Elephas maximus indicus: one gene and its partner. The protein of the gene in region 1 interacts with the protein of each later gene in a pairwise test. Links are inferred from orthologs where the notes say so. Each region holds a gene or a part of one and is shown in the gene's direction. Other genes may lie near its edges. The genes, in order: ACOT8 and PEX5.

The links.
Region 2: the proteins of ACOT8 (region 1) and PEX5 interact in binary tests that used the Homo sapiens proteins (3 or more experiments, as listed by UniProt). The link is inferred for Elephas maximus indicus from reciprocal best matches to the Homo sapiens genes ACOT8 and PEX5.

What each region holds. Positions count from the first base shown.
Region 1 is NC_064843.1:23,391,724-23,407,528, forward strand, and holds the start of ACOT8 (acyl-coenzyme A thioesterase 8), read left to right. Parts: upstream 1-8,061; 5' UTR 8,062-8,109; coding exon of another isoform or gene 8,110-8,165; coding exon 8,166-8,284; intron 8,285-9,469; coding exon 9,470-9,606; intron 9,607-12,933; coding exon 12,934-13,159; intron 13,160-15,538; coding exon 15,539-15,696; intron 15,697-15,805. Other genes in the region: ZSWIM3 (zinc finger SWIM domain-containing protein 3), read right to left, coding at 7,507-7,661. UniProt on the Homo sapiens protein: Catalyzes the hydrolysis of acyl-CoAs into free fatty acids and coenzyme A (CoASH), regulating their respective intracellular levels. Displays no strong substrate specificity with respect to the carboxylic acid moiety of Acyl-CoAs.
Region 2 is NC_064822.1:64,039,727-64,056,267, forward strand, and holds the start of PEX5 (peroxisomal biogenesis factor 5), read left to right. Parts: upstream 1-7,931; 5' UTR 7,932-8,037; intron 8,038-8,059; exon of another isoform or gene 8,060-8,132; intron 8,133-8,657; 5' UTR 8,658-8,673; coding exon 8,674-8,820; intron 8,821-9,134; coding exon 9,135-9,170; intron 9,171-9,665; coding exon 9,666-9,798; intron 9,799-9,996; coding exon 9,997-10,128; intron 10,129-16,541.

The sequences.
Region 1 (15,805 bases):
TTCAGTATAGGTTACACCTCAACATAAGAAAACAAAAATCCTCACAACTGGACCAATAAGCAATGTCATGATAAACACAGAAAAGATTGAAGTTGTCAAGGATTTCATTTTACTTGGATCCACAATCAACTGCCATGGAAGCAGCAGTCAAGAAATCAAAAGACACATTGCATTGGGGAAATCTGCTGCAAAGGACCTCTTCAAAGTGTTGAAAAGTAAAGATGTTACCTTGAAGACTATGGTGCGTCTGACCCAAGCCATGGTATTTTCAATCCTGTCGTATGCATGTGAAAGTTGGACAGTGAATAAGGAAGATGGAAGAAGAATTGATGCCTTTGAATTGTGGTGTTGGCAAATAATATTGAATATACCACGGACTGCCAAAAGAGCGAACGGCTCTGTCTTGGAAGAACAACCAGAACGCTCCTTAGAAACAAGGATGGCGAGACTGGATCTTTGGACATGTTGTCAGGAAGGATCAGTCCCTGAGAAGGATGTCATGCTTGGTAAAGTATAGGGTCAGCAGACAAAAGGAAGACCCTCAATGAGATGGATTGACACAGTGGCTGCAACAATGGCCTCAAGCATAATGACGATTGTAAGGATGGCGCAGGATCAGGCAGTGTTTCATTCTGTTGTGCATAGGGTCGCTATGAGTTGGAACCAACCTGAAGGCACCTAACAACAACAATTAAGAATATATAAGGGGGGAGGGAAGCTGGATTAATGGAAACAGGACAACCAGAATGGAAATAATGAGAATCTTGACACTGTGAAAAATGTAGCCAATGTGACTCAACAGTATGTATAAAATAATTTGCTAAACCTAAAACACAATAAAATATTATTAAAGAAAGAAATCGAACGATGTATAGGGCAAACCTGCTGCAAAAGATCTCTTTAAAGTTTTAAAAAGCAAAGATGTCATTTTGATGACTAAGGTGCACCTGACCGAAGCCATGGTATTTTCAATTACCTCATATGCATGTAAAAGCTGGACAATTGAAAATGGAAGATTGAAGAATTGAGGCATTTGAATTGTATCAGCGACAAATATTGAATATACTGTGAACTGACAGAAGAACAAATAAATCCATTTTGGAGGAAGTACAGCCAGAATGCTCCTTAGAGGTAAAGATGACGAGACTTCAACTTGCTTATTTTGGACAACAAGAAAGACCAATGACTAGAAAAGGAAATCGTACTCGGTAAAGTAGAGGGTCAGAGAAAATGCGGTAAACCCTCTGTGAGATGAAATGACCTAGGAGTTGCAACGGATGGGCTCAAACATTCCAACAGTTGTAAGGATGGATGGTGCAGGAGCACGCAATGTTTTGTTCTATCATACATAAGTTTGGCATGAGGGAGAGACTAACAACAACAATTAAGTACCAAATACTTCTAGTTGCTCAGAAGGCTACCGAGACAAATTAGATAGTTCCTACTCTCAAAGTCTCATGAGCAGATTATTACACAGGTGGCCAATAAAGTCAAAATCAACTGAATGTTAAATAGAGGCACAAACAATATATTTATCACTGAAAACTAGGTGAGGCACTCTGACCGTAGAAATCGGTATGATTAACTAAGGCTCCCAATTAATTTTGTGTAAGATTTGTGCCCTTTTTTGTATGTAAATTGGGCCCTGACCAATGAGTAGGATTTTTATAGATGAAGAATAGGCAAAGCCCCCAAAAAACAGAATGAGACTAAAGGGACACACCAGCTCAGGGGCAAGGACTAGAAGGCAGGAGGGGACAGGAAAGCTGGTAATAGGGAACCCAAGGTCGAGAAGCGAGAGTATTGGCATGTCGTGGGGTTGGTAACCAACGTCACAAAACAATATGTGTACTAATTGTTTATTGAGAAGCTAGTTTGTTCTGTAAACCTTCATCTAAAGTACAATAAAAAAAGAATAGGCAAAGCCATCTTTGTTGTTAGTGCCATCAAGTTGATTTTCAACTCATTTCAACCCCATGTGACAGAGAACTGCCCCATAGGGTTTTCTAGACTATAATCTTTACAGGAACAGATAGCCAGGTCTTTCTCTCGTAGAGCTGCTGGGTGCGTTTGAACTGCCAACCTTTCAGTTAGCAGCCAAGTGCTTAACCGTTGTGCTGCCAGGGCGCCTTAAAGACATCTCAGACAATATAGTTTGAGTTAGGAACAAGACTCCGGAGTCAGGAGACCTTAGTTTCAATCCCAGTTCTACCACAGATTAGCTGTACGACCTTGGACAAGGCACTTCACTTCTTCTAAACCTCCATCTGCACAGTCAGGAATGTGGAAATACCAAAGGAACAGGTCCCTCTTGTTCTACGAATGATCAGTACCACTTAAAGGGAATCCATTTAAAAGGCTTTGGTAGATTCTGCTTGTTGCCAGCCCCACAGAACTTTGTCCCCTCCCTTCCTCCTTTCTAACAGAACTTCCATTTTATTCTGGTTGCCACCCCTCCACAGAGCTCTGTGCTTCAGGGTTAGTCTAAGCCAATTAAGGTAATCCCATTAGGAAGGGGCACGTATACTGGCTCAATTCTGGCCAAGAAAGGCAGTAGGAAGTCTTCAGGACACCAAGGAAAGCTTTTTCCTCTGGATGTGCCATGTGGGGAGCCACGCTGAAGGCACAGCTGAGAACTGTGGATGGCAGGGTGGGAGGATGGAAATAGCCTGGGCCTCGGAGACAGTCACCTGCAGAGGCCTACCTTTGGGTTTCTACATGGGAACTAATAAGCCAATTTGAGTAAGGTTTTCAGTTCCTTGTAGCCAAGGACATCCCTGGAAGCAACATTTCACAGTAAATAGTGGGAGAAAAAAGATTTGAGTGGAATTTCACCTTAAAAAATAAGACAAAAATTATGGAGTTAATATTATATTTAATAAAACGTAGATTATAATGACAACTATATGCTTATTCTTAGAATAATCAAAGAACAACTTGAGGTTGTACTGGCCTAAGCATAGATGAATAGGCAAAGAAAAAAAACAAAACAAAAACAAAAAGAACAACCTTAAGTGCCAACTTTTTTTCCCTGGTGTAATTTTTGCAAACACTATGGTACTTCATTTCCTGTCTCACTTTTGCAATATGCAGAGGTCAGTTTTACCCAAATATTCCAGGGCTGTATTAGGTTTCCCAAGGATCTATCTTCATTCTTTGCTATGCAAATCCTTTCCTTTTCAGGTTCCAATCCTATTATCATCCTTGTTGATTTCCCTTCTCATCTGTTAACCATGAGGCTAAGGGAGGAGCTCTGGTGGTACAGTGGTTAAGCGCTCAGTTGCTAACCGAAAGGTTGGCAGTTTGAACCCCCCAGCCACTCCACGGGAGAAAGATGTGGCAGTCTGTGGCACTCTGCTTCCAGAAAGATTTACAGCCTTGGAAACCCTACGGGGCAGTTCTACTCTATCCTAACACCTAAGTGTTTTCTTACGGTTTCTTGAAATCTTACCCTACTCCCTACTCTGACCTGCCCCCTCCTTTCTGCCCCTTCCCATTTTTCTTGGCTGTGACTGTACCAGATTCAGACTTCCCTGGCTCACACCCATGTGCTTTTTGGGGGTGAGGGTGCTTTTTGCCACAGGTTCTCATGATTTTCCTCTTCCATGCCTCGATTGCCTGGGGGCCTGCTCCCACCTACTCCTGGCCTCTATCTATCCGCTCTTCTGCCTGTGCTCACACATTTGGAACTCCGTGCAAAGCAGCCTTCCGAGTGTTATGTAAATGAGCTCAGTGCCGTAACCTAAAGCTGCTGCTGTCGAAGGCTGTGGAGTCAATTCCAACCCCCAGCAAGCCCATGTGACAGGGTAGAACTGCCCCATAGGGCTTCCTAGGCTGTAATCTATCCAGGAGCAGACGGCCAGGTCTTTTCTCCCAAAGAGCGCTGGTGGGTTTGAACCACTGACCTTTTGGTTGACAGCCGGAGCTTAACCGTTGTGCCACCAGGGCTCCTTGGACCTAAAGCAGAGAGGTAGAAATTATTAGTCCCTTTTTAACATTTGACTTCCCCTGGCTGTGTTTCCCCACCTGCAAAATAATAACGATAATAGCAGCTTACAATTATGGACTATTTCCTATGAACCAGGCACTCCTATAAGCACTCTACATGTATTAACTCACTTAATAGGCAAACAAAATAACAAGTCAGATAATGAAGGTGCGCGTGCTTTGTAAATGATCTCTGCAAAGTATCAGGGATGACAACATCACTTTTCTAATCAAGAACCTGAACTGGTATCAAGTTTCAACCGATACCTTCTTCCTCCACCACCACCACCACCACTCTCCCCTGGCCACCCAACCAGGTTGTTTCCCTGTCATTCCATCACCCAGCACCCTAGACTTCTCCTTTGCAGCCCTTACCACAATTTTAAGTAAATAATTACTTCTGTGGTGATAAGTTAGTATCTGTTCCCTGACCAGAAGGTAAGCTCCAGGAGGGCTGGAACCCACTTTATCTTTTTCAATACTGTCTCTCCAGACTCTAGCATGGAATCAGTGTTCAGTAAATAAATGCTGAAATCAATGAATTAAACCAGGGAACTTTGAGTAAGGATGCTTTGCACATACAAGTGGAAGAAGCCATACGGAATAATCTCCAAGATACACAGATACATGAGAAGAGCAAGGTGCAGAACCGCGTGTATTGATAGTACGCTCCCACTTGTGCTAAAATACATATGCACAAAGACAATACGGTTGTTCAGGCACCAGCGTCTCAGGAAGGTTAACAGTGGTTGTCTCTAGGTAATAATGCTGAAGGGACACTGACTTTTAGATTTTTTGGTACTGTTTGATTTTTTTTTTTAATTTAGTTACTATATTAACTATAACCAAAACAAATTAATTTTTAAAATTGTTCAACCTTCAAAGACAAAAATAAATGAAACTAATGTCAACCCTCCAGCCTATTTATCTGGGCCCATCCAATTCTTCCCCACTATTCTTCAGCATAAATCTTCCTTCTAGCTAAGTAGGTTTCCCCACAAGGGTCCTTAAAGTGGGAGAGGGAGACAGAAAAGGGGAGTCAGAGAAGGGGTTGTGAGGTCAGAGTGATATGATGTGAGGAGGGCTCCACCTGCCATTGCTGGCTTTGAAGACGGAGGAAGGGGACCATAAGCCAAGGAGGGCTAGGCGTCTGTAGAAGCTGGAAAAGGCAATGGAACCAATTCTCCTTGACACCTTGATTTTAGCCTAGTGAGACTTATGTCTGACTCCCAACCTACAGAATCTAAAAATAAGTTTGTGATGTTTTAAGCCATTAGTTCATGTAATTTGTTACAGCAGCAAAAAGAAAACTAACATACCCCCCAGTGCCCCCCTCTCCATCTTTAGGGGGTGCACCTCAGGTCTCCCTTTCTCTTACTTCTCCAGCCCAGTGATTACTCTCTCTTCCCAGTTCCTGCAGCACCTATTCCCCTGAAGCACACTTTTAGCACTTGATGATTCAGTCATTCAATATACAATGACTTGCTATGGGCCCAACCCAGAGCTAGACCCTGCGGACACAATGGTGAACCAAAGTTTCTCCCTGGAAAAGCACAGCCAATGGGGAAAACTCTGTAAACTGGATTACAAAGCAATATGCAAAGAGGTGTAACACTTGCTGCTGGAGCACAGCAGGAACATCAAACCTAATCTTGGGGAAGTTAAGAAAGACTTCCTGGAGGAAGTGCTGAGACCTAAAGAAAAATGAACAACTAGCTAAGACCGAGTTTCCCATAAGGGGTCCAAAATGACCTCAGATTGCTTAAGAACAGATATTTTCAGGATTATTTATAAATACATAACATTCATTTCACATGAATGCTCTGCATTTTACCTGGAATCCGTCAGTCTGATTCCAGAATGCACTTTTTTTTGGCCCTGGTGGCACAGTGGTTAAGCACTGAGGCTAGTAACCAAAACGTCAGCAGTTCGAATCCACCAGTTGCTCCTTGGAAACCCTACGGGGCAGTTCAACCCTGTCCTATAGGGTCGCTATGAGTTGAAATTGACTCAATAGCAAACGGGTTTATGCTGTTACTTCATATATATTATTTCCTAGGTTAGGTCTAAAATAGGTTACTTTGAATATTAAACCTGAGTGAATTTAAAGAAAAAAACGTTAAGTAAATTGTAGTACAGGACATGGCAAGAGCTGAGATGATGGCACACAGAATGACTGACATATGAGTTGCGTTTAAACCACCAACCTTTAGGTTAGTAGTCCAGAGCAAACCTTTTGCACCACCCAGGGACTTTGAGGCTCCTACTCTAGCCCTCTGTGTGTATTCACTGCCCAGAGAAACCATTACTTCCAGAGTGAAGCTTTTCCATACCTCCCAGGCATGTTACTTCTTCCTCTGCACAAGTCTCTTTTAAAGCATTATCACTTACAGGTTGGCTTATCTGAGTTCGAGTCTATTCCACTTTAAGCTCCTTCAGGGTCGGCTGGATTTTTTAATCATCTCTACGTCATCTGTACCCAACACAACAGTAGACTTCTGAGTAACAGAAAGAACACACATTGCCTGGCTCCCAAGCTGGGGAGCTCTGGCCAACTTCTCAAACCAGAGGTCTTAGACTGGTGGCCCTGAGATACACTATTTTTGACTCTCAGAGATGGCCCACATAGTGTAGCCCACAATTTGAACTAATTTCCATTTTTTTTAAAAAGTGGCCAAATCCACATAAAAGTCTGTTTCTCACTCCTCTCGCCCAAAATTCTGGCAACAATGAATCTTCATTTTTCACATGGCAGTAATCAGCTGGAGTCGATTAGATGGGATTTGCTCTCTAATTTGCCCCAGTTCACAGTTTTCTCTGTTGTCCCCATGGCGTTATTTCATCATTCTTATTCTTACAGTACAATAAAAAGTTATGTTACATTTTCTTACCCTGGGCTGTTTCACCTGAGCCCAAAAGGCATTTGAGTTTTCAACTCCTGTCTTAAATTCTTTAAGCCTGTTTTCTTATCTGTTAAATGAGAAGAATAACGTCTAATCCTTGATACAGCCCTGAGGGGTAAAGCACGCCCAGAGTACAGAACGCTGCCTGGGACATGCAAAGTGTTTGAAAAATGGTTGTTAATATTAGGAGCTCAAGAACCATTTACAGAATGAATGAATGCAACAATCACCAACTGACCTGTTACTGCTTTGTAAAGAATAAAACGCTAAGGCGTTTTTATCCATCTTTGAAGGCAGTATTTTGTGTCTGGAATACTGTAGGTGCTTCAAAAATAGGACAAACTGCAGTTATGAATTCCAGAAAAGCTTGTTCAAGAAAGGAATGAGTGAGTGACGGTGAAGTGGGTGGTCAAAAAGCAACGCCTAAAGAGGGTTTGCTCTATATCCACAAGGCACGCAGCAGGTGCTCAGCAGGTGCCTGCTGAATGAATGGCTGCGGAAGTCTGAGACAAGGGCCCAAGAGCATTCCCGCCTCCTCCTCCTCCTCCAGGCCGCCCTCCGGTGGGCCGGCCACCCTCCTCCCCATCCTCCTGCCCCGCCCCCGCCCCGCCCTTACAGGATGTCTTCGCGGATAGAGGTGCCATGGTGGAGGTTGTGGAAGCGGACGGAGACGCAGTCTCTGAGAATGAAGGAGCACCTGTTCTCCTTTTTGTAGGCGCTGAAGCATTCCTTGAAGTCCTCGTAGGTCTTGAAGCAGCTGCCCAGCTCCATGGCTGTCCCCTCAGCCCACAGCAGGGGCTGGTCCTAGCGTGGGCCCAGTATCACACCGGGGGTCAGAGGTCACTGTGAGGGTCTACAGGCTGGTCTAGGTCCAGGGCCCTTAGAGGTCGGTTCCACTTGAGTGCCTGTTATGGAGCTCAGGAGGATCCCAAGTCTGAGGGGTTTCTGGGGCGAGGGGCGTCTTTACTGCCTGACAGAGGGAAATTGACACTCAGTCCTTATTATTCAGCCCCGAGGCTCCGCCCCCTCAGTATCACACCCAATCACACACGGGACCCCAGAGTGGCACTTATTTTCTCCAATCATTAGAGAAATCCCGCCTCATCCACCAGAAGACGGATAGGAACATCAACAATCATAGTCGGATCCCGCCTTCTCACTGTCCCGCAGGGCACTTCCGGTTACGAGGGCAATTTGCCGGGGGCTTCCGGCTCTGGGTATGTCTCCAGTTCCCTCGCCCAGGGCAGTGACCGAGGCCAGCCGCCAGCTAGTAAGATGTCGTCCCCGCAGGCTCCGGAGGACGGGCAGGAAGGCCACGATCCCCCCAGGGACCTCCGCAGCGTCCTGGTCACCAGCGTGCTCAACCTTGAGCCGTTGGACGAAGATCTCTTCAGGTAGCCTGCAGCATCCGGCTCGCGCCCCCACTGGGACGGAGGCCCCTGGTCTCGGCAGCCGCCACCCATTGTCCCTCAGCTCCTGAACGAGGATGGGCTGTGCGGAGGCTGCAGGCTCTGCCGCGATCGAGAGAGGGCTTGGCCCTCACTGCGCTGTCCAGACTGCACTGGCTTCCTCCCTCCCATTCCATGCCCGGACTGCGCAGCGCTCTTGCGAACTGGGCAAATAAAGTGGTAACCTGTGATACGGCAGTCGGCCCTTGGGGTCCCTGGGGGAGTCAGCCCAGAGAGGGCAGTGATTTACCTAAGGGCACACAGCAAATCTAGTTTAAAACTTAAGTCCCCTGATTCGCAGCTTCTTGCATCTTTACTATCCTTTTAATTTTACATACTCCTTCCCCACTACTTGGTGGGATTTGGTAGCTCATTGCTGCTCATGCTGAGGTCTGAGCCTCTTTCCTTCCCAGTTCACTTAAGCTCTTGACCGCTTTGGCCTCCAGAGCTCCTACTGGCTTTATTGGAATCCATCTTTGGCTTTAACTTCCCTTCCGTCCACTTAACGACTTGTAAATCACTTCCTGGAGGGTTATTTGCAATACAGTGCTATGGAGAATACTAAATTGGGGCTGGGGCTCACATGCCAACTGGTCTTTTTTCACTTCGGGGGACCCAATTTCCTCATCTTTACACTTCCAGCTCTGAATCGGGTTCTAGAAAGAACTGGGCTGTTGTGGTTGAGGAATATAGGGGATAGACTCAGCCCTGGAGGTTCATCTTGGTCCACCCAAGATGCTTGTGTCTTACTCTGATATGGGGAGTAGAAGAAACACTGGACTTGGGGTCAAAAGACTCCAGAACTGTCCAGGATGTGCAATGTTTAAGCTTTGTGACCCTGCTCAAGTCATTTGAACTCTCTGATCGCCATTCTCTGAGTGTGAAATAAGTGAGTTAGATTGTTATCCTTAACTGAATCCACAGAAGGGCTCTGGGTGGTCATGAAGGCCATGAAGTTGTATGCAGAGTAATGTGTGAGGATATTTGCCTGGGAGAGGGCCCATGGCTTTCACCAGTTTTTCAAAGGGATCCCAAACCCCAATAAATTTAAGAGATCCTGCAGTAAAGGCTCTTTGAGAGCTGTAGGATTCAGCCCCTACCCAAGTCTCTCCCAATTTCCTCTTCCCACAGAGGAAGGCATTACTGGGTACCCACCACCCAGCGGCTGTTTGGGGGTCAGATCGTGGGTCAGGCCCTGGTAGCTGCAGCCAAGTCTGTGACTGAAGACGTCCACGTACACTCCCTGCACTGCTACTTTGTTCGGGCAGGTAAACCACCCCCTCCTTGCCCCCACCCAGTCCTGGGGACCCGGCAGCCACTTCTCCCTGGTCTTGGAGGGCTGACTGAGGAGAGAGGGAGAGAAGGGGGGCTTAGGAGCCATTTCCTCCTGGCTTTGGGGGGCTGACTGAGGGGAAAGGGGAAGCGAAGAACGGAGACAGAGAGTTCCAGTCGCAGGGGAGCCAAGAGAGAAACAAGGCCTGGGGCCGACAAAGAGCTTTGGACTTTACACTTACTGAGACCGTTAACTTGTTCTCTGGCTCTTGATGATGCAAGACTTGGTTCTTAGTTGTTTCCTGTTGGTGTGAGTATGGCGCTAGATCCTCACATCTGCTGTAACCTCTGTTAGGGGTTTGGGGGGCACAGCTGCCTGGCTTGGAGAAAAGAGCACCAGGCTGGGAATCAAAAGATCTTGGTTCTAGTTTCAGCCTTGCCAATAACTTGCCTTGTGACACTGAGTAGATGACCTCCCTCCCTGAGGCTTGGTTTGTGCCCTCTTTAGAGTGAAGTTAGTGGGGAGGAGAGGAAGGGTTGGTCCAGGGGCTTTTAGTTGGATGATCTCTATAGTTGCTTATAGCTCGGGGATCCGGTCAAGGAGCAAGGGGCAGTCTTTTAAAACCCACTCTCTGTTGAGAAACAAAAATCTCACTTGGTTTGCCTCCATACCCCTGACTTCTAAGGCAGGTGCCCACAATTTTAGACTTGTTGTCTTCTTCAGAGTCAAACCAGCTGGGAAGATTTTGTTTAACTTTATATTCTGTGATTTGTACTCAGAAAACAATAGGGGGGGGTTTTCTTTCATTTTAAAAATAAAAAATAGTTATAATAATAAATCTATTTTTTCACACCATATTACCATGCCCTTCACTCCCCCTTCCTTTATTGCCTGAGCCCCTTGACTGTGATTGTCATCGCTACTTACCAGCCCAGTTCTTACCTTTGTGCTAGTTGGGAGCACCTCTGGACTTTATTTCTTCAGTTTGGCTGTAAGCTTCCAAGATGCTGGCCTTTTGGTAGTGTAATCCTCCTAGCTCAGTGAGAGACCTGGCGGTTTTGTCTTGCCTTGTGGAAGTAGGGGCATTACTTGATCCCTCAGAATCTGATTCTTTATCCTGTGATGAAAGAATTATAACTCTTTGTAGTGAAAGCCTCTAGTGCAGTGCCTGGCACATTGCAGGTTTCCCATAAGTGATAATAATCATTTTTTATGATGAGTTTATGAGAATAATTAATATTTGCATGGCACAGAGGATGGCCAGGTACATTATCTTACTTAGTCCTCATAACATGAGGGTGGGCATTCCTGCCACCATTCAGTGTATAAGGAAATGGCAACCTAAAGAGATTTGTAACCAGCTCCTACAGCTGCTCAGGGAGGCAGAGCCACGATCTGAACCCAGGTTTGTGTGCCTCCAGCTCCACAGTCTTCTGCTACTTTCTCTTTTCACTTGTGAAGATCATTACAAATCCGTGTAGGGCTACCAGGGTACCTGTCTTAGGCTGGCTTCTCTAGAGAAGCAAAACCAGTGAAGTGTATATATCTATATATGTATATAGATAGAGATTTATCTCAAGAAAATGGCTCACACAGTTGTGGAGGCCGGCAGTTCTCAAATCCATGGGTCGGGCGTTGGGCTGGAAGGCTTCTTCTGACTCACATGGTTGCAGGGGCTGCGGAACCCAAGATCGTCAGGTCACATGGTAGGCTGCTGGCTCAAGTACCAAGAAGCAGAGGTCAGATGATGACGAGCTCGATGTAGGACCCAGAGCAAGGGAGACCTTTGCCAGTCATCCATGTATATTGAATGAAGGCTGTGCCCTCCAAGGAAACTCCCATCACGTCAGATAGTTGAGCAAGGGTGTGACTTGGGTCATACCTGCTTATAAGGATGTGACTCGTGATACACCCTACACTAATCCTGCCCTATTAGCACGTAGAGGTTAGGACTTTCAACACATAAAATGGAGGATAATTACATCAGGCCACAAAAAGGGAAGATAATTACAATCATGGCCTAGCCAAGTTGACATATAACATTAACCATCACAGTGCTCGTTCCAGGTTCTGGGGGAAGGATCTTCTTCCTTGCTACCATTTCAAAATAAATCACCAATTATTTGTTCCTTATCTCTTCCTGGAAAGGCTGCAAGACAGCTGAAGATAATTGATAGCTATCAAAGGACTATCAAAATAAAGGTCAAAGGACAACAGAGTAGTCCTAATAGGGAGCCTGGGGAAAATGACTTTACCAAAAAACTGGGCTAAGGCATATTGCTGTAGTTTCTCACAAAATTTAGTTCTCAGCTCCCTGGCAGCAAGGCAAAAAGGGAAGCTCTCAGTAGTTTGTGATGTGACCCTTTACCACATACCTCAAATATAACCAATGAAGATGTTTTAAATGATATATATATTTATAAAAGATGCTGAGGGTGGGTAATCTTTGTCATTTATATTATCAACTCTAAAAGCCCAAGGCAGAATGTCTTTTTTTTTTTTTTTAGGGAGGTAAAAGAATGTAGTACAGGAATGTAGCATGCTACAGGTTTAAACCCACTGCCGTTGAGTCAACAGGTTTAGAGCTGGGAAAATCTGGAGCAGGAGTCGGCAAGCTTTTTTCCTGTAATGGACCAGATAGTAAATATTTTAGGCTTTGCGGGTCTCTTTGTGACAACTCAACTCTGCTGTGTAGCTCGCGAAAACAGCCATAGACAATATGCAAACAAATGATTGTAACTGTGCTCCAAAGAAACTTTATTTACCAGAAAAGGTAGCAGACTGGATTTGGCCCACGGGCTATAGTTTGCTGACCCCTGATTTTAAAGAAATGATTCTGTAGTCATGACATGATCCCAGTCACAGACAGAACAAGATAAGAACTGAGAGAATTTATTTTATTTAACCAACACTTAGAGAGTACTAACTATGAAAAACTATGAGCCAGATATTATTCTAAACACTGTACAACTATGAGTTCATTTAATTCTCATAAAAATCCTGTGAGGTCTGAGCACTATGAGGGTCCTCATTTTACTGGAGTGAACTGCTCAGAGAGGTTAAGCGACTTTTCCAAGGTCACACATCTGGTGAGTGGCAGAGCCAGGGTTTGAATGCAGGAAATCTGGCCGAGTCCAAGTATTCTGTGCTGTTGACAGGAGGCACTCCACCTAGTGCTCTCTTTGTATCCCCAGTACCTGGTCTCAGTCCCTAGCTACTGAACAGAGAAAGGAATAGAGGACCAGTGGCAGAGGTGCCCACCTGGCCTTTGTGCTGTCTACAAAGCCTGTAGGGCTCACTGTGCCCCTTGTGCCCACTGCAGGAGACCCAAAGTTGCCAGTGCTATACCAGGTGGAACGGACGCGAACAGGGGCGAGCTTCTCGGTGCGCTCCGTGAGGGCCGTGCAACACGGCAAGCCCATCTTCATCTGCCAGGCCTCCTTCCAACAGATCCAGCCCAGTCCCCTGCAGCACCAGTTCTCCATGCCAGCTGTGCCCCCGCCAGAGGAGCTGCTCGACTATGAGACCCTCATTGACCAGTACTTAAGGTGAGAAGCCTGGAGGCTCCTGGGCAGTGCTTTCAAACAGCGGTTCTCAGTCATTAGTGGGTCATGAGATCCTTTCATGGGTCTTGACCAGCATTTTAGAAATATAGAATAGAAAAGAAGATATTGGAGTATATCGTACGTAGGAAGGGTAAGAATTCTTTGGTGACACTTGAGTTTCAGTTGTGTGTGTATTGGGTCATGATGTAAAATGCAGGGTTTATATTCAGCCAGTGCAGGCACTGTTACAGCTTTACTGGCTGTTAAAATATTGAAATACTTCTGTAACCACTTGGTAAATAGTCACCTCCTCAGGCCACTGCATGATCTCCTCTCCTTTCTCCTGGTCACCCATGATTCAGCAGCTTAGGAGTTAATGCCTGGCAGGGGTGGGTGTCCTCTAGAACCCTGCTGCGAAGCTATGGCCCAAATTTGCTCTGACTGGTCGCTGCCTTTGCCTTCCAAACCAAAACTCATTGCCTCGATTCTGAATCATAGTGACCCGATAGGACAGAGTAGAACTGCTCCATAGGGCTTCTAAGGCTGTAATCTTTATGCAAGCAGATTGCCACATCTTTCTCCCACTGAGCTGCTGGTGGGTTTGAATTGCCAGGCTTTTGGTTCTCAGCCAAGTGCTTAATTGTTGTGCCACCGGGGCTCCTTGCTTTAGATAATATCAACCAAAAACTCAACCCATTGGCCCTCTTGTCGATTCCGACTGATAGCGACCCTCTCGGACAGGGTAGGACTGCTCCATAGGGTTTCCAAGGCTGTGATCTTTATGGAAGCAGAATGCCACATCTTTCTCCCACAGAGTGGGTGGTAGGTTCAAACCACCAACCTTTTGGTTACCAGCCAAGCACTTTAATGGCTTTGCCACCAGCTCTTTGCCTTTGCCTTACTGGGTGTATCACCTGGTAGAATGTATTTCTCACTTGGATCACAGCCTATAAAGTTTGAAAAATGCTGGTGCAAGAGAAAGAGCACCAGGTCCAGACTCAGGACAGATGGTGTTTTCTGGCCGGCTGAGTTAGGGCATACCTGCTGTGGACTTGCCCAGTTCCCCAGCCTCTCTGATCCTAGTTTCTGCATCTAAGACATGGGAGTAGTCACTTCTGCCCTGCCTGCTTCACAGCTGAATCACAAGGACAGCTCCTCTGCCTTGTGCTGGATGCTGGGGAGGCAGCAGGGTAGATGGATGTGGGTTTAGGAGCCCAAAAGGCCTGTGTTCAAATTTAGACTGGTCCTTACTGGCTTTGTGAGCTTGGGCAAGTTGCTTTCCCTCTCTTAGCCTGTGCCCTCAGTTGTAAAATGGTGCTGATAATAATTACTACCTCCCAAGGCCGCTGTGAGGATTAAATGAGGTAAGGGAAATAAGGCACTTAGAGGGTACTCAGTAAATGGTAGTTATACCACTCTTGACAGGAATAAGTAGGGGGCCTTGTATGTAGTCAGTGCCCAACAAATGTTTGCTGAAATGAAATGAGGACTTTTGTTCTTTAGGGGCTCCGCTTATGGAGCTGTGCTGTCCAGTAAGGTAGCCACTAGCCACATGTGGCTGTATTAAATTAATTAAAAGAAGTAAAAATTCAGTTTGTTGGTTATACTAGCCACATTTCGAGAGCTTAAAAGCCACATGTGCTTGTGGCTACCATAGTGGACAGTGCAGGTATAGAGCATTCCATCACAGAAAGTTCTGTGGGACAGCACTCGTGAGGATAGGGATGAAAATGGCGGCACCCCGAGAAGCACTATGGGTGGTTGTTACTGTGGTGAAAGGGCTTCCTTGGAAACGGGCCCCTCCCTCTGGGGGAGAAGATTGTTCCCAGCTGCTTTAATGTTAGGTAACTCAGGCCAAGTTGCTGTTTCCTGACTGTGTAGAATGCTGACATGGTTAAGAGCATGAACTATGGAGCCAGATTGCCTGGGTCCAAATGCCCTCTCCACTTTCTGAGCAAGCTACGTGGCCTCTCTGTACTTATTTCATTTATCAAAAGGGGGTGATGACAGTGCCAGTTTCACAGGGTTGTTGGGAGGCGTGAGTTAATGTGAGACGTTTAGAACAGAATAGTGCCTCTCAAGTGTGCGTCTTACTGCTATAATGTGTTGTCTTCACCACGTTGTTATCAGCCAGGTTACTATGATTATCCACATTTTGCAGATGAGAAAATAGGCTCAGAGAGATCACTAACTGAGACAAAGCCATATGGCTCATATGTAGCAAAGAAGGAATTAAAAAACTACTATTGTGCCTGCCACAAGCAGAGGGGAGCTTTGGGGACAAGTCAGGAGTCCTGTGGAGGAAGGAGGGGGTCAGAAGAGGCAGCTCAGATGAGAAGTTCCGCTCTTCTTGCATCTCCCCACTCTCCCTTTTACTTTCAGGGACCCTAACCTCCACAAGAGGTACCGAGTGGGGCTGAACCGGATTGCTGCCCAGGAGGTGCCCATTGAGATCAGGGTCATAAACCCACCCACCCTGAGCCAGCTGCAGCGCCTGGAGCCCAAACAGATGTTCTGGGTGCGAGCCCGGGGCTATATTGGTAAGAGGACCCCATGGACTGGAGGAAAACTCTCTCCAGGGGTCTAGACCTGCAACTCATCACCCTGTGACCTTGGGCCTGGTACTTGCCCTCTCGGGTACTGTTTCCT
Region 2 (16,541 bases), on another chromosome or scaffold:
CTATGAAATAGAATGTCAGTCTTGGGCAGAGTGGCTTTGGAATTAATTTGACTGAGCTAAAGTCTTTACCTATTTTTGAGACTCCTGGGAGAAAAAATCTATGAAAAAACCCATGTTCCAATCTGATTCACAAAGGAGCAATGGATATTATTGGGGAACAGTCTCATGATAGGGAGCAGGTCTGTCTTTACAGGAATAGTCACATCCTTGGCTGATTACAAGTTTAATGGTTACCTAAGGCCAGTGGGGAAACCCTGGTGGCTAGTGGTTAAGAGCTATGGCTGCTAACGAAAAGGTTGGCGGTTCGAATCCACCAGGTGGTCCCTGGAAACCATATAGGGCAGTTATACTCTGTCCTATAGGGTAGCTGTGAGTTGGAGTCGACTTGATGGCAACAAGTTTTAAGGTCAATGGATTAAGAAAATAATCTGGAAATGCTTGTCCTCATTTTATCATGAGGGGACTTGACACTCCTGACTCTCTTCATGGCATGGAAGAGTTATTTGGTATGTGGTGAGGGTCTAACATCCATTGATCCATGTTTTTAGATAGGGTCAAACTAATCTATAATAAGTGCAAGAACCTCTTCCCGTCTCAGCTTCAGGGTGTGATTGCAATAATTATGGATGAATGTTTGCTCTACAGCCCCCAACAATCCCTTAGGTAAGCTGATCCAAGGTCTATACTTGGAAGTGGGATTGTATTAATAAGCCCGTTACTCAACAAATCTAAAATGATATTCTCCAATCAGCTTTAACAATAATACATCTGAAATTTGATCTTGTATTCTGTTGTCACAGAGCCCTGTTGGCGCAGTGGTTAAGTGCTTGGCTGTTAAGCGAAAGGTTGGTAGTTCAAACCTACCAGATGCTCCTTGGGATAAAGATGTGGCAGTGTGCTTCTGCAAGGATTACAGCCTTGGAAGCCTTATGCGGCAGTTCTACTCTATCTTGTAGGGTCCCTATGAGTTGGATTCAACGGGATACAGTTCTTCATTCAGGGCAACTTTTAACCAAAACAGCTCTCAGCTTCTCGGCTGTGACCACAGGCAGGCAGCCCTTCTCTCGGCCATACCACTGCTAGGCCTTCTTTTGGCCACACCTGCCACCAGGTCTTCTCTTGGCCTCCGTCCTGCTTGGGCAAGTGTTACAGCTCTTTAGCTCTGCCAACAAGTGCCTGGAGGCACTTCACTCCACCTTCCTGCCTGAAGGTGCTTACCTCTCTCTTGCTCTGTGGGTCAGCAAGCCCACTGCAGCTGCCTTGCCCTGATGGCCGGGTTCCTGCCACTTATACTGCTGCAGCCATTTCTCTGCTGCTGGGCTCTGCTGTAGTTGCCACTATTTCTTGCTGTCTTCAGTGTTACAGCTCTCTTTCTCTTCTGCGTCTAGGAGGTTCTCAGCACAGGGACCCTGTGTCCAAAGGATGTGTTCCACTCCAATCTCTTCTTGGTGGTAGTGAGGTTCCGCTTAACCTCTGCAGGATTTGTCCTTATGTAAGCCTACTCCTTGTCAATTTCAGGGCATGGTCCTCCCACCATGTCGATGAACTGCTCAATCCCCTTGGTAGGCCACAGTCACTTAATTTGCATATTAATAGACCAATTCCCTGCAAGGTCACTTAATCCTATTGGGTAGTTTTACCTACCCTATTTGCATAGTAGACTGACCAGTCTCTGCAAGGTGCACCAAATAGACCAATCACAAGGCAGGCTGTGGCCCAACCAACTATTTTTGGTAGAATTATCAACCCAAGGCCAGATACAAGAGAAACTCATTATACCGTAGACCTTTAATTCTGTCTTCTGTGCTTTATTTCTCTGAGCTCAGAGTATGATTATCGCCACTCAAAATCTAATAGTAACAATAATTTCTTCCACAGATATTTTTTGACTATCTGCTATGTGTGGCACAGTGATTGAGAGCTACAGCTGCTATCCAAAAGGTCAGCAGTTTGAATCTACCAGCCACCACTTGGAAACCCTACGGGGCAGTTCTACTCTGTCCTATTGGGCCACTGGGAGTCGGAATCGACTTGATGTCAATAGGGTAACTATATGTCAGGCACAATTCTAGGGCCTGGAGATCTAGCACTGAGAAAGCTGAAGTCCCTGCCCTTATGGAGCTTACATTCTGTCTTGCAAAGTCCTCAGAGCAAACGCTAGCAGGATCACTTGATGTGGGATAAAACCCATGAGCAGAAGAGTCATCAGGTGAATGGTTCCCCTGAGGCCATGTTCATTTTTTGGTTTATTTTCTCTCTGTCGTTCAGATATTGAGTAATTTCTATTGTTCTGTCTTCCAGTTCATTGATTCTTTTCTCTGTCCCCTCCATTCTACTGTTGAGCCTACCTACTGAGACTTTTATTTTAATTATTGTATTTTTCAGTTCTAAAATTTCTATTTGGAATTTCTTTATATCATCTATTTCTTTTCTAAGGCTTTCTATTTTTTTCATTTGTCTCGAGTGTGTTCATAGTTGCTCACTGAAGCATTTTTTAAATCATGGCTGCCTTACAATCTTTTCCGATAATTCTAACATTTCTGCCATCTTGGTGTGGCATCTATTGTCTTTTATTATTCAGTTTGTAATCTTCCTGGTTCTTGGCAGGATGAGTGATTTTGGATTAAAACCTGGACGTTTTTATGTTTTGTTGTGAGACTTTGGATTTTATTTAAACCTTCTGTTTTAATTGGCTTTCTTTGACACCACTCCAAGAAGGGAAGAAGGAAATCACTCTTCTGGTACCACCATCTGGTTACTGCCAGATGGAAGTAGAAATCGAGGTTCCTCATTTGGCCACCATTAATACATGAGTAGGAAGGGGACTCCTCATTACTGCTATGTGGGCTGGGAGTGTCCTGGCTCCCCACGTGGTCTCCACTTACATCTCAGGGGAGAGACGGAGCTGTGGCCTGTGGAGATAAAAGTTCTGGCTCCCTATTTGGGCTTCTTTGGTACCACCCTAGTGGGGGAATTGGGGTGCTTCCTTATAGCCTCATAAGGAGAGAAGTCTCTGTTTCCTACTCAGCCTTCACTGGTGTTGGTGGGGCCATAGTTTTTTCTTTCATGTTTAGTTGGAGCAGAGTAGTTACTGTCTAAAAGTTTCTGTCTTGGTAGGCTGCCCCTTCCCCCGTCCTAGAGAGAGCAGGTCTTTGTTAGAGCTCTTTTTGTCTGCACCCATTGGTGTTGCTGTGTTGCCGGCTTCTCTAGCACCCAGTCTGGGATATATGAGGCAAAAAGAAAACCTAGATTACTCACTGCTGTGTTGTTCCTTGGGTCCTGAGGTCCTTAGCTGGTCTGCCTTCTTTTCTCCATCTTTCAGAGTCTTCTTATGTTTGTTTTATATATCGCGTCTACGGTTTTTAGTTGTACTCAGTGGGAGAAAAAGAGAAAAGCATGTCTACTTCATCTTCCTGGAAGTGAATTTCCCCTGTCAAACTAACAAAACAAGCAAAAACTGAAACACATTATTTATCTGTGTATGCTGTAGATATTTGGTTGAAAAATACTGAAAAGAGAGTAAAACCACTCATTTGAAGAAATTCTCCAAATAAAAAACCTTATTTTGTTTTTCTTTTTTTCCTTCTTCCCTTCCATTCTTTGGGGGTGGTGGGAGTAAGGGATCAATGGGTTCCCAACTGGATTTTGGCAAGGGTGACATATTGTGAAAATTCCCTGGATTTCTAGAGGTGGTAAGATTCTGCTACAAGCATGGGTAAGGGGTGTCTGTAACACAGTCCTGCTTTTGGTTAGGCAAATCCCCTGCTGTGTAGCTATAGAATGGTTAGGTATTTTGTACTCAAATGTAGATGGGTTATGCCGGACATAGCTGATTATATCTAGATATCACTACTCTGAACACTTTTAAAGCCAATTGGGATTTGCCCAGGTATACACAGATGGGTCCAGTTTTGGGATTTGCTGCATTTCACCATACATGCAGCTTTCTTCCTTTGTCAAAGTGTCTCTGCCAACGGTAACTACTGAGGCTGACAGGACAGATGAATAATCATAACCAACAAACCCTTTCAAATGTACATGTGTGAAGACTGTAGCTTGACGTGCAATATCCAGAGGAAGGAAACTTCCCTTACTCTGTGCGTTGTGTCATTAAAAAACTAAAGAATCAAACCAGACGGTCGTCCCCATTTCCCAACCCCCACCTCCAACAACATGGAATGTGAAATTCAACACCTAGGGAGCAGAGATTTGTTGCTCAGCTGAAGTTGTGAAAGAAGTTGGTTGCACCTGATGTGGGGATACAGCTTTTCAACTACCTTAATCTGATGATAAAAACTAGGTAAAGTTGTAACTGAAGAGTTGGACACCATTATCAGTTGAGGGGAACGGCTTTAGGGATTCATGACACAGCAGACAGAACTCTTCTCTGAGACACAACTGAGGGTGTTCACTTGTGGTTCAGATAGCATCATTTTGGGACCATACAGTTCCTATGTCTAGTGTCCTGGCCTTAACTCTCTGACCTCTAAGTGCCTGTACTGTGGTTCCAAATTTAACCCAGTAGCCTTGAACTACCTGAGCCAGTAAATTTGCTCAGGTGTATAATGACTTTGAGTTAAAATGTCTGATGTTTAAGAGAATCTGATGATAGGCCTTCAATCTGAGAGGTAAAATTGATTTTAGACTTGTGATTTTAAGTTAAAAGGACTAAGAGGATTTTATAAATGTACAAGGGTTGAATAAGAGGTTAGAAAGAAAAAGAGGTTAGAAAGAAGGTTGTTAGCTCTGTCAGGCATATATAATGCTTTAACATATATATATATACATACATATATATATATGTGTATATACATATATATATATATATATATATATATATATATATATATATATATATATATATATATATATATATATATAGAAAGTACCCAAGGAGTTCAAAATATTTAAGGGACTTTGATTTTTTAAAAACAAAGTATAGCAAAGTAGTTAGAAGTACGGACTCTGGAACTAGACCGTCTGTGTTAGGGGTTGGCAAACTATAGCCTGCCATCTGTTTTCTGTATGGTCTGCAATCTAAGAATAGTTTTGACATTTTTAACTGGTTGGAAAAAAAAAATCAAAAGAAAAATATTTTGTGACGTTATATGAAATTCAAATTTCAGTGCCTATAAATAAAGTTTTATTGGAACACAGCCACACTCATTCATTTACGTATTGTCTATGGCTGCTTTCATGCTACAATGGCAGAGTTGAGTAGCTGTGACAGAGACCATATGGCCTGCAAATCGTACAATATTAACTATTTGACCTTTTACAAACAAAGTTTATTGACCTTGGTCTAGGTTCAAGTCCCAACTTTGCTATTTATAAGTGGTATAACTTTGGGCAAGTCACTTCTCTGCGCCTCAGTTTCCTGTCTGTAAAATGGGAATAGTAGTTGCTATATAGTTCATATGAGGATTAAATGAATTAATACTTGAAAAGTACTTAGAATAGTGCCTGGCACATTGTAAACACAATGTAAGTGTTTAAAAATTGTTTGAAGGAATTTAATCTGTTAAAATTGAATTAACTGAATATTAATTAAAGAGAAAGTAAAAGTGATTATTTTATTTTATATGTTACTACTCTTATAAATAGAATAAGAATGTATAGCTGAATCTGGATTAACAAAATTTAGGATTTTAAATCCAGAACTTCAATAAACTAAATATTAATTAAATACCCACGTAACTCTATTAGTTCTCTGCCAACCCTAGACACCCTCTTGGACTTGTGGACCAGGTTCTGTGAAGGATTCTACGGCTTACAAACCAGGCTTCTTTAAGACTAGGAGGCCTTGCTGTGTAATGGATAGATAGATACCTGGAGTTATGCCTGGATTGAATTCTGACATCTTAGTTGTGTGATTTGGGGACAAGTCTTATCTGTAAAATGGGGTTAGTAACACCTATTTCATAAACATGTTATGAAAATCAAAAGTGCTAATGCTCATAAAACATTTAGTGCAGTACCTGGATTTGAGTAAGCACTCAATAAGCACCAGTTGTCATTATTACCATTCTCCCAAGAGTGGGCACATAGTGAGTTATTGCTTCTAGCAGAGCAGAAAGTAATGTGTGTGGTATGGTTGGAGTGTTACTGGGAAACCCTTAATGCCTTAATGTCCTGAAAGTCTACCATATCATATGCTTCCAGTTGAACGTTGCCTTCTCCAAAAACCTAAAACTAAATCCATTGCTGTGGAGTGAATTCTGACTCATGGTGACCCCATGTGTTACAGAGTAGAAATGCTCCACAGGGTTTTCTCGGCTGTAATCCTTACGGAAGCAGATAGCGAGGCCTTTCTTCTGTGGTTCCTCAGGGCAGGTTCAAACCAGCAATACGTAGGTCTGTAGCTGAGTGCAAACCATTTATACCACCCAGGGCAAAAGTGCCCTGTCCAGGGATTCTCTCTTTTGGAAGTATGCACTTTCTAGAGGGCACCTGTTCCTCCTTGGTATGGTTTAATTCATTAGTACTAGATATTTACCTGGTGGCGCGCTGGTTAAGAGCTCAGCTGCTAACCGAAAGGTCGGCAGTTGTAATCTACCAGCTGCTCCTTGAAAACCCCATGGGGCAATTGTACTGTCCTATAGGGTTGCTACGAGTCAAAATCTACTCAACGGCATGTTTTAAGGTATATTCTTTACAACGGCAGCCTGAGAACAGTGGACACTCAAGGGTCAGGATTTGTGTATTCCAGGGGAAAAGAGGTAGTGGATTAGGGCCTCTGAAAGTGGGTGAAAATGCAAAGAAAAGGAGAAATTTTCGACAGTCTTCAGGTTTGTCCTGTCATTCTGTTTCCCTGAGGTGTCTAAGAACAGCTTCTCTGCCTTCCCAGGGTTGAGTTTACAGAGCCAAGTCTCTTTGGTTCCCTGGGGCCTCCACCATCGAAATCTTTACCAACAGCCAGGTAACAGGACTCACCTAGGGCTTCACCTGCTGTCTGTCTGCCTCTTCGAGTGCACCCTGGGCTGGGATGATACTTCTGTTTGGCTGAGTCTACCATACCCTTTCTCATCTACCAGCAGCCCTGAGCCCCTCCTGCCCTTCTACATGACACCAGGACTCCCTTGGTCTTGGAGCCAGGTCAGAGACCAGGGTTTGTTTCCCAGTGACCTTGAGGTTTGAAAGCTGAGCCAATTCCCTGGCAGATGGTGGGGCCTGAGGCTTAAAGTCATGTTCTGCATTTTTTGCATCAGCCGGAAGGAGTGGGAATAAGGCCACCACAGTGACCTTAACCACAGGTGAGGGAGGGGAGTGGGGGAGAAGTGACTCACTGTACACCTACCTTGTATGTTATCAGCTTTAAGTCTCAGGATGTGTTGGACCCTATTTTAGTCTCTGGACTTTGTCATCATTCAGTGCTATTTTCCCCAATACGCAGAGGTGGAAAAGGGATTGGCTGCAGGCCTCTGTCTCCATGGAGACTGTGACGCTATCCCTTTATGGGGACTTTGGAAGAGAGGCAGACCTGGGAGGCTGGAAAAGGTCCCCGACTTGACTAACTTCCTCCTGTCCCCGAGTCTCAGCATTAGGGTTTTTCTTCTACCCGCTTTGGGGCTTGGGAAGACTGGCCGTTTTAGAGGGGTAAACTGAGGCCTAGGAAGGGCAGGGGATGACATTGGGTCACAATGAGTCCCAGGAAGAGCAAGGATGAGCTGAGCCCAGCAACCTGGGCCCTCGGCTTTTTCCCCAAAGTCCGGGAAGCCCCTCAGCTCCATTCTTCCTTGACCCTTCCATCAAATAAATCTGAGCGTCAGCGACCCTTTCAAGCGCTTCCAAGAGCACACGCTCCAAGATTTTTCTTTTAAGGAGCCCTTCCCCTTTAAGATTCACCGCTCTTCCCATTACGCGGCGTCGCATCCTTAAGGCCCCGCCCCTTCAAACAGCTTCCGCCGAGCCGCGACCGCAGCGCGGCGGTCACGGCCCCTTTAAGCCTGAGCCCCGCCCCCTGGCTCCCCCTTCTCTACCTTCCCCTCCCCCGCCAGTCCGGGTGCCCCGGCAGCTCTTGCGGCGCGGTGCGCGGCGGTAAGCAAAGGGTCCCGAGGGGGCGCGGGGACGAGTTCCCCGTCTTCCCCGCCCTTGCTGTGTCCTCGTGGGGCAGGGCCAGAGCAGATGGAGTGGTGGGGAGCGCGGGAGGGGTGGGCCGGGAGCGGGTCGAGCAGAGGGAGGGGCCCAGGTGACCTGGGGGAGGGGGTGGCCCCCCGTGGTGTTCAGCAGACTACCGGGGGGTGTCGGGGACAGGGCTTACGGTCAGGCGTTGTTACTCCCTTCTCGTGTCCGCCCAGTGTCCCAGTCCAGCGCGGTTGGAGAAGCGGCCCCTGTGGCCCTCTGGTGTCCAGGCCACTCCGTAGGGGGCGGGTGCTGGCCGGGTTCAGCCGGTCGAGACCACAGACGTGGAGGCTGCCGAAGAGGCCCAGGCTGAAGGCTGTGGCCTTTGAGGGGGCGGCGGGAGGGTCCCGGCACCCCTTGGAGGTCAGGCAGAGGTGTGGGCCACAGTAAAAGGCACAGGGGTGAAGAGTAGCCAGTGACCAGGGGCCTGACCCGTGAGGGGCCGATGTTTGCTAGCCTCCCCAATATGCGAGCTGAGTTGGGGGTTGGAGAAGGGTCTGTCTTCAGAACCTCAGTTCCAAACCTCTGCCCATCAGAGAGCTGGCGGTCACCATGGCAATGCGGGAGCTGGTGGAGGCAGAATGCGGGGGTGCCAACCCACTCATGAAACTGGCTGGGCACTTCACCCAGGACAAGGCCCTGCGACAGGAGGGCTTGAAGCCTGGCCCCTGGCCTCCAGGAGCCCCACCTCCAGAGGCGGTGAGTGGAAAGCCCAAGTGGTGGCTGGGATGGAACGTCCAGGTGTACACCTTGGATAACTAATTGCTTTCTTTATTGTGCTGCAAATAATAGTTACCATCTTTTTAATGAGTGTTTACTCAACATTATACTAAGCACTGTGCATTATTATATAGACGAAGTAAACAATTTTATACATAAAGAAACTGAGGCCCAGAGAAGTTATGTGACTTGTTCAAGTCATGTAACTAGTCAGTAGTAGAGCTGGAATTTTAACTCATGTTCAACTGATTTCGCCACTGTACCGTATTGCCTTCCTTTGTGTTCTGTCTTAGGTCTCTAAGCCTTTGGGAGTATCCTCTGAAGATGAGGTAAATATATCAGTGTCATTTCCACTGTAAACTGTTAAGCACTCGACTGCTAGCCAGTGGGTTGATAGTTTGAACTCACCCAGAGGTGCCTTGGAAGACTGTCCTGTTGATCTGCTTCCAAAGGTCACAGCCTTGAAAACTTTCTGCAGCAGTTCTACTCTGCACACATGGGGCCGCCGTTAATGGGCATTGACTTAACAGCAACTAACAACAACATTGTGCTTTTATTTTTAAACTTGCCTCACCCATATTTCAATCTTTGGTCTTCCCTGAACAAATGAGATTTGCTTTAGCTCTCCTGCTTGTTTTTTTTTTTTTTTTTATGTATTATTTGTTTCCAAATCTATGGAGAGTTAAGTTTCTCTCTCTAATTGTCTCCAGTTTCTATATTATCCTTTCATTGTATCTGACATCAGTATCTCTCATCCAGTGGACCCTGTCTCTTGCTGGGACTTCCCTGACCCCGTGGGTTCATTTCACTATCTTTTCTGACAGCTGGTGGCTGAATTCCTGCATGACCAGAATGCATCACTTGTATCCCGTGCCCCTCAGACCTTCAAGATGGATGACCTCCTGGCGGAGATGCAGGAGATTGAACAGTCCAGCTTCCGCCAGGCTCCCCAGAGAGGTGGGTTCAGAGTCTGGTGGGAGGGGAGGTCACCATTTTCTGTGTAGGCGGGGCCAAGGGGGTTCCAAATTTGAATGCTGATGACATTGTGGAACTGGATATAGAAGGAAACAAAAGGAGCATAGTGTTTTCATGTGCATTCAGGGTTACTTACTAGGCATAAAAGAAATAATAAGTATTTCTTTTTTCTGTTTTTAGCCCCTGGTGTGGCAGACTTGGCCTTGTCTGAGAACTGGGCCCAGGAGTTTCTTGCAGCTGGAGATGCTGTGGATGTAACTCAGGATTATAATGAGACTGACTGGTCCCAAGAATTTATCTCTGAAGTTACAGGTGAGACTCCTTATTGGAAAATCTGTAATGGTTTCAGTGGAGGCAATGAAAGTTCTATACTGCTCCCCTAATTCATTTAAGGGTACAGGGTGATTTCAGCTGTTTATTATTTTTCTGGCCTCTTGACATATTTTTATGTAGGGCATTTAGCATGATTTCCCTTAGGTGATAGTAGGGAGTCGAAATTTATATTAAGCAGAGGACTGAGTTTGAACTGGGTAAGAGATTTTTCCAAATCCGTATAGTTCAAACCCCAATGTGTGTGTGTGTGTGTGTGTGTGTGTGTGTGTGTACGTACATATATATGTACCACGAAGAATTAGGTCTACCTCTTTGTTATCTGGAACTTTATTACTACAGTTTGGTAGAAAGGATCCAGAGAGATTGGGTGGATGGCTGTGTTGCCCAGGAAGAGAAAAATATCTGCCAATAGCTTCTGTGATTCTGGCAATAAGTCATCTTGAATATAGTTGGGGCCTTGGAGAGTGGGGCTGTGGAGTTTAAAGCCAAGACCATACCTTGATGATAATAATAAAACTTAATAGCTAATATTTTGTTCAGGGCTTTGTGTCAAGTTGTTTAAATGCATTATGTATTTAATCCCTATGAGAATTCTTGAGGTCCTTACTGGTTTTATTTCCAGTTTATAGATAAGGAAACTGAACCATAGAGGTGAAGGAAATTGCCCAGCTTTGTAAGCGGTAGAGTTGGGATTTGACTCTGGGATGAATGATTCTCTTCTTTTTTGATTGGCCACAGACTTCAGGGTCTCAGCCAGGGCTTTGAACTGGTTTGAACCGGTTCAGTCACGACTGACAAAGTGAAACCAGAATAGACTTGAATTTTTAAAATTTGGATGATCCAGAACCATAACTGGAATGGGAAAAATTATGGGTTGAAGCTGGAATGGGAGACTTCGAAGAGGTGTGGTGAGCCCTTTCGGGAGGCTGATAGTTGAGGTTGGATTATTACCAGCACTGAGGAGAGTGACACACAAAGTGGTGCAGTTGACCACCATCTTTGAGCTGGGCACAGCTCTTTCCGACTCTGCACAGAATCCTATGGGCAAGACATTTGGTTGCTATGCAACATGTACACTGCCCTTGTTTTCTAAGAGGGAGATTAAGTTTCACGTAAGGTTTTGACCCATAATTTTTCCTGTTCTAGTTGTGGTTCTGGGTTACCCAAATTTTAAAAATTCAGATCTGTTCTGGTGTCACCTCCTTGGCCATGACTGAACTTGGAAGAACCAGTTTGAAGCCCTTGTCTCATGCTAACTTTTTCCTCTTTGAGATTGTCCATTGCGCACTTCATGCCTTGGGATTGATCCTTCTGTCTGTAAACCTACCTAATTTTTTCTTCCTGATTGGTTTCAAAGAGAAGCACCATTAGCCTTTTCCAATTTAAGAAATAAAAGAGAATGAGAGGCACAAGTGGAGAAAGTTACAACGATTCTAGACTCTAAGGGAGCTTATACCATCATAGTTCCTGAATTTTTCTGAGATGATAAATAGGACCTAATTAGTTTGTCTTCTATATCATTTAGAAAAAAAAAAAATATTGTGTTTAAGGTGAAAGTTTACACAGCAAATAAGGTTCCATTTAAGAATTTCTACACAGACTATTCAGTGGTGTTGATCACATTTTTCACAATGTGTCATCATTCTCATCCATTCCATCTGTACCATTTCTAATACTCTAGTTTCCCTGCCCCCTTACCTTCTCATTATTTTTGCTTTCCTTGCCCCCTTACCTTCTCATTTATTTTTGCTTTGGAGTAATTTTTTTAAAAAAAAATTTTAAATTTAATTTTATTGTGTTTTAGATGAAGGTTTACAGAGCAAATTAGTTTCTAATTAAACAATTTATGCACATTATTTTGTGACATTGGTTGCCAGCCCCATGACGTGTCAACACTTCCTGTCACCACCTTGGATTCCCCATTACCAGCTTACCTGTGTCCATCTGCCTTCTTGTCCTTGCCCCTGGCCTGGTATGCCCATTTAGTCTTGTTTTGTCTTACGAGCCTGTCTAATCTTTGAAGGGTGAACCTCAGGAGTGACTTCAGTATTGAGTTAAAAGGGTATTGGGGGCCATACTTTTGCGGTTTCCTCAGTCTCTGTCAGATTAGTAAGTCTGTTTTTTTTGTGTGAGTTAGAATTTTGTTCTACATTTTTCTCCAGCTCTGTCTAGGTCCCTCTATTGTGATCCCTGTCATAGCGGTCAGTGCCATCTAGTTGTGCTGGATTAAATCTGGTGGAGGCTGTGGTAGCTGTGGTCCATTAGTCGTTTGGACTAATCTTTCCGTTGTATCTTTGGTTTTCTTCCTTCTCTTTTGCTCCAGACAGAGTGGGACCAGTAAGACGTATCTTAGATTGTTGCTCAGAAGCTTTTAAGACCCGAGACACTACTCACCAAAGTAGGATGTAGAACATTTTCTTTATAAACTGTGTTATGCCAGTTGAGCTAGATGTCCTCTGAAACCATGGTCCCCAAGTCCTCAGCCCAAGTAATTCAGTCCCTCAGGGAGTTTGGATGTGTCTCTGAAGCTTCCATGAGCTGTGCTGACTTCCCTGATATTGTGTATCATCTTACCTTTCGCCAAAGTTACCACTTATCTATTGTGTAGTTAGTGTTATTCCCTCCCTGCCTCTCCCTTCCCTCAAAACCATCAAAGATTGTTTTTGTGTGTAAACCTTTACATGAGTTTTTATAATAGTGGTCTCATACAGTATTTTTGTCTTTTCGTAATTGACTTATTTCACTCAGCATAATGCCTTACAGATTCATTCATGTTGTGAGGCATTTCACAGATTCATCGTTGTTCTTTATCGTTTCTTAGTATTTCATTGTGTGTAGGTACCATAGTTTGTTTATCCATTCATCTGTTGATAGGCACTTAGGTTGTTTCCATTTTTTTGCTATTGTGAATAATGCAGCAATGAGTATGGGTGTGCATATGTCTATTCATATGATGGCTCTTATTTCTCTAGAATATATTCCTAGGAGTGGGATTGATGAATTGAATGGTATTTCTATTTCCAGCTTTTTAAGGAAGTGCCATATCGTTTTTCAAAATGGTTGTACCATTTTACACTCCCATCAGCAGTGCGTAAGAGTTCCAATCTCCCCGGTCCCTCTCCAACATTCGTTATTTTTTGATTTGTGCCAGTAATGTTGGGGTGAAACGGTATCTCATTGTAGTTTTGATTTGCATTTCTCTAATGGCTAGTGATCGCGAGCATTTCCTCTTGTGTCTGTTAGCTGCCTGGATGTGTTCATTGGTGAAGTGTCTGTTCATATCCTTTGTCCATTTTTTAATTGGATTGTCTTTTTGTTGTAGAGGTATTGGATTTTCCTATGGATTTTAAAGATTAGACCTTTGTTGGATTTGTCATAGCCATTTTTTTTCCCCAGTCTGTAGGTTCTCTTTTTACTCTTTTGTTGAGCATAAGTGTTTAATTTTTAGAAGATCCCAGTTATCTAGTTTATCTTCTGGTGTTTGTGTATTGTTAGTTATGGTTCATATCTTATTTATGCCATGTATTAGGGCCTCTAGCATTGACCCTATTTTTTCTTCTATGGTCCTTGTAGTTTTTGGTTTTATATTTAGGTCTTTGATCCATTTTGATACAGTTTTTGTGTATGGTGTGATGTTTGTGGCCTGTTTCATTTTTTTACAGATGAACATCCAGTTTTGCCAGTACCATTTGTTAAAAAGACTGTCTTTTCCCCATTTAATGGACTTTGGGCCTTTGTTGAAGATCAGGTCCCTGCAGGTGGATGGATTTACATATGCGTTCTCAGTTTCTGTTCCATTGGTCAATCTATCTGTCATACCAATACCAGGCTGTTTTGACTATCGTAGCTATATAATAGCTTTAGTAATTTTTAACCATTTGGTCTTATATAGGTGATTTTTTTTAAAGAAGCTCATTATTCATGGTAATAATCTTTATTTATGAGCCAATCTGTTATTTAGTTAAAAGGTGACCTCAACGGATATTTTCGGTTTAAGGTTTAAAGCTAATCTCAGGGCAGTAGTCTTGGGGAATCTCTAGTCTCAAACAGTCCAGTAAGTCTGGAATTTTTTAAGAATTTGAGTTCTGTTCTACATTATTCTCCCACTCTGCCAGGATCCATCTACTGTGGCTGTGATCAGAATGGTTGGTAGTGGTAGCTGGGCACCAACTAGTTCTTCTGGTCTCAGGGTAGATGAGGCTGTAGTTTGCATAGACTATTAGTCCTGTACACTACTTTTTTCTCTGAGCCTTTGTTTCCTTTCTCTTTTGTCTGGACAAGTAGAGACCAATAGTTGTATCATCACTTTGGGATATAGTACACATACTTTACTATTGCTGTCAAGTCAATTCTGACTCATAGTGACCATGTAGGAAGAATAGAATTGCCCCATAGGATTTCCAAGGCTGTAATCTTTAGAGGAGCAGATTGCCACATCTTTCTCCGGTGGAGCAGCTGGTGGGTTTGAACTGCCAACCTTTGGGTTAGTGGCCGAGTGCTTAACTACTGCACCATCAGGGCTCATTAGAACATACACTTTATGAGGTATATTATGCCAGTTAACTGAGTTGTCACACGAGACTATGGTCCTAAGCCTTCAAACCCAGAAAACCAGGTGTTTGGTTATGTCTAAGAAGTATCTGGAAACCCTGGTTGCTTAGTGGTTAAGAGCTATGGCTGCAAACCAAAAAGTCGGCAGTTCAAATCCACCAGGTGCTCCTTGGAAACCCTATGGGGCAGTTTTGCTCTATATCTTGGGTTGCTGTGAGTCAGAATCAACTCGACGGCAGTGGGTTTGGTTTTTCTTAAGAAGTATCTGTAACTGTGTCCCCTATGTGTTTTATTATATATATGGATATACCTGCATGCACACACATACCTGTATGTACATATGCCTGTAGATATATCTGTCTGTGTGCACGTACGTGCCTACATATTTGTACCTATACACATATGCCTACGTACATACTTGTGTAAGTATACACATTCTTTGATTGGTGTTGCAAAATTATATTTGTCATATCCTTTACCAAAAACATCCTTATCTCTTGTGCATTTCTTAGTGACATCATTTACCTTGGTGAAGCTGTGTGCACTTCATCCACATCCTATGCTGCCTTTCCCATCACCAAAAATAACAAGCATCTGCTAACTCAAGAGTGCTTCCTCTTCTTCCCCCTGAACCATCCCTGATAACCACCAATGAGTGTTGGTCTCTGTATATATATCTATTTTTGTCTTGTAAAAGTACACTCGTACAATATTTGTCCTTTCGTCACATCACTTTTATTCTTTTAAAAGATAGGGCTTTCTCCATACATAAAAGAGAAAAGCCCCAAAAATCTAACCACTAAAGCTCACCTTTAATAAAAGCTATTGGCCCCTTTTGTCATGACTCCTTTTCCCAACCATAAGTTGGAGTTGAGGTAGAACAATAAGTACTCTTGGCTTCATTAATAATATTAAGTACTTTATAATCTTAAACACATTTTATGTTCATAGTTAACCTTGTAAGGTATTTCTCCCATTTTATAGATGAGGAAACTAAGATTTGGAAAGGCTAAATACTTTGTCCAAAATCATTTAGTAACAGAAATGATATTCAAACTCATGTCTGTTTTACTCTAGGTTCCAGAGTCTTCTCTGGAGAATTGCTTGACGTTAACCAGAGCCATAGCAAAGACGCTCCTCCAGACAGAAACTCTCAGTTTTTCACGCACATCATAGACTTAGGTGCTGCCTCTTACCACAGAGAGGCTTCTGTTGTAATGTGGGCATCAGTCGTTTTTTGATGACTCAGGAAAAAAATCATTGCTACATGTGTGCATTGAGATGGATGAGATTTTTGTTACAAATACCTGAATTGCTTGCAACCAGTGAAATCTTCCTTAACCTGTAAATGTAAATCAACTGTGGAAAAAGATGTTGGACCTGTCTAACTTGTTAAATCCTCTTTGGAAGGTCTCTCTTCTATTTTTTATGTTCATTTGGCACTGTGCCTGCAACACAGAGGCAGGGACACAGGAAGCAGGAAAAAGAAGTTGAGCTGTTTGGGGTCTGCCTTCATAAAAATGTCTTATTGAAGTAGTATATTGTTTTGTGTGTAGTAAGTCTTGAGTATTTATTGAATGATTGGAGATCTAGGAGATTTAAAGGAAGTCGATTTTCTAGTAATATTTTTTATCATCCTTCTCATAGCATTTGTGGGTGACATGAATGATACAGGTTAATGATGGATAAGTAGCTTTTAAGATGAGGGAAGGTTATAGTCTTTAAATCTTTATTGTTATTGTTTAATCTCCATTGTTAAGATCCTAGAATCCAGTTTAAAAGGAACCTTGAATTTCTTTTCTGTTTTGTTTTATGTTTTTATTTGGAAATATAGTTTCACC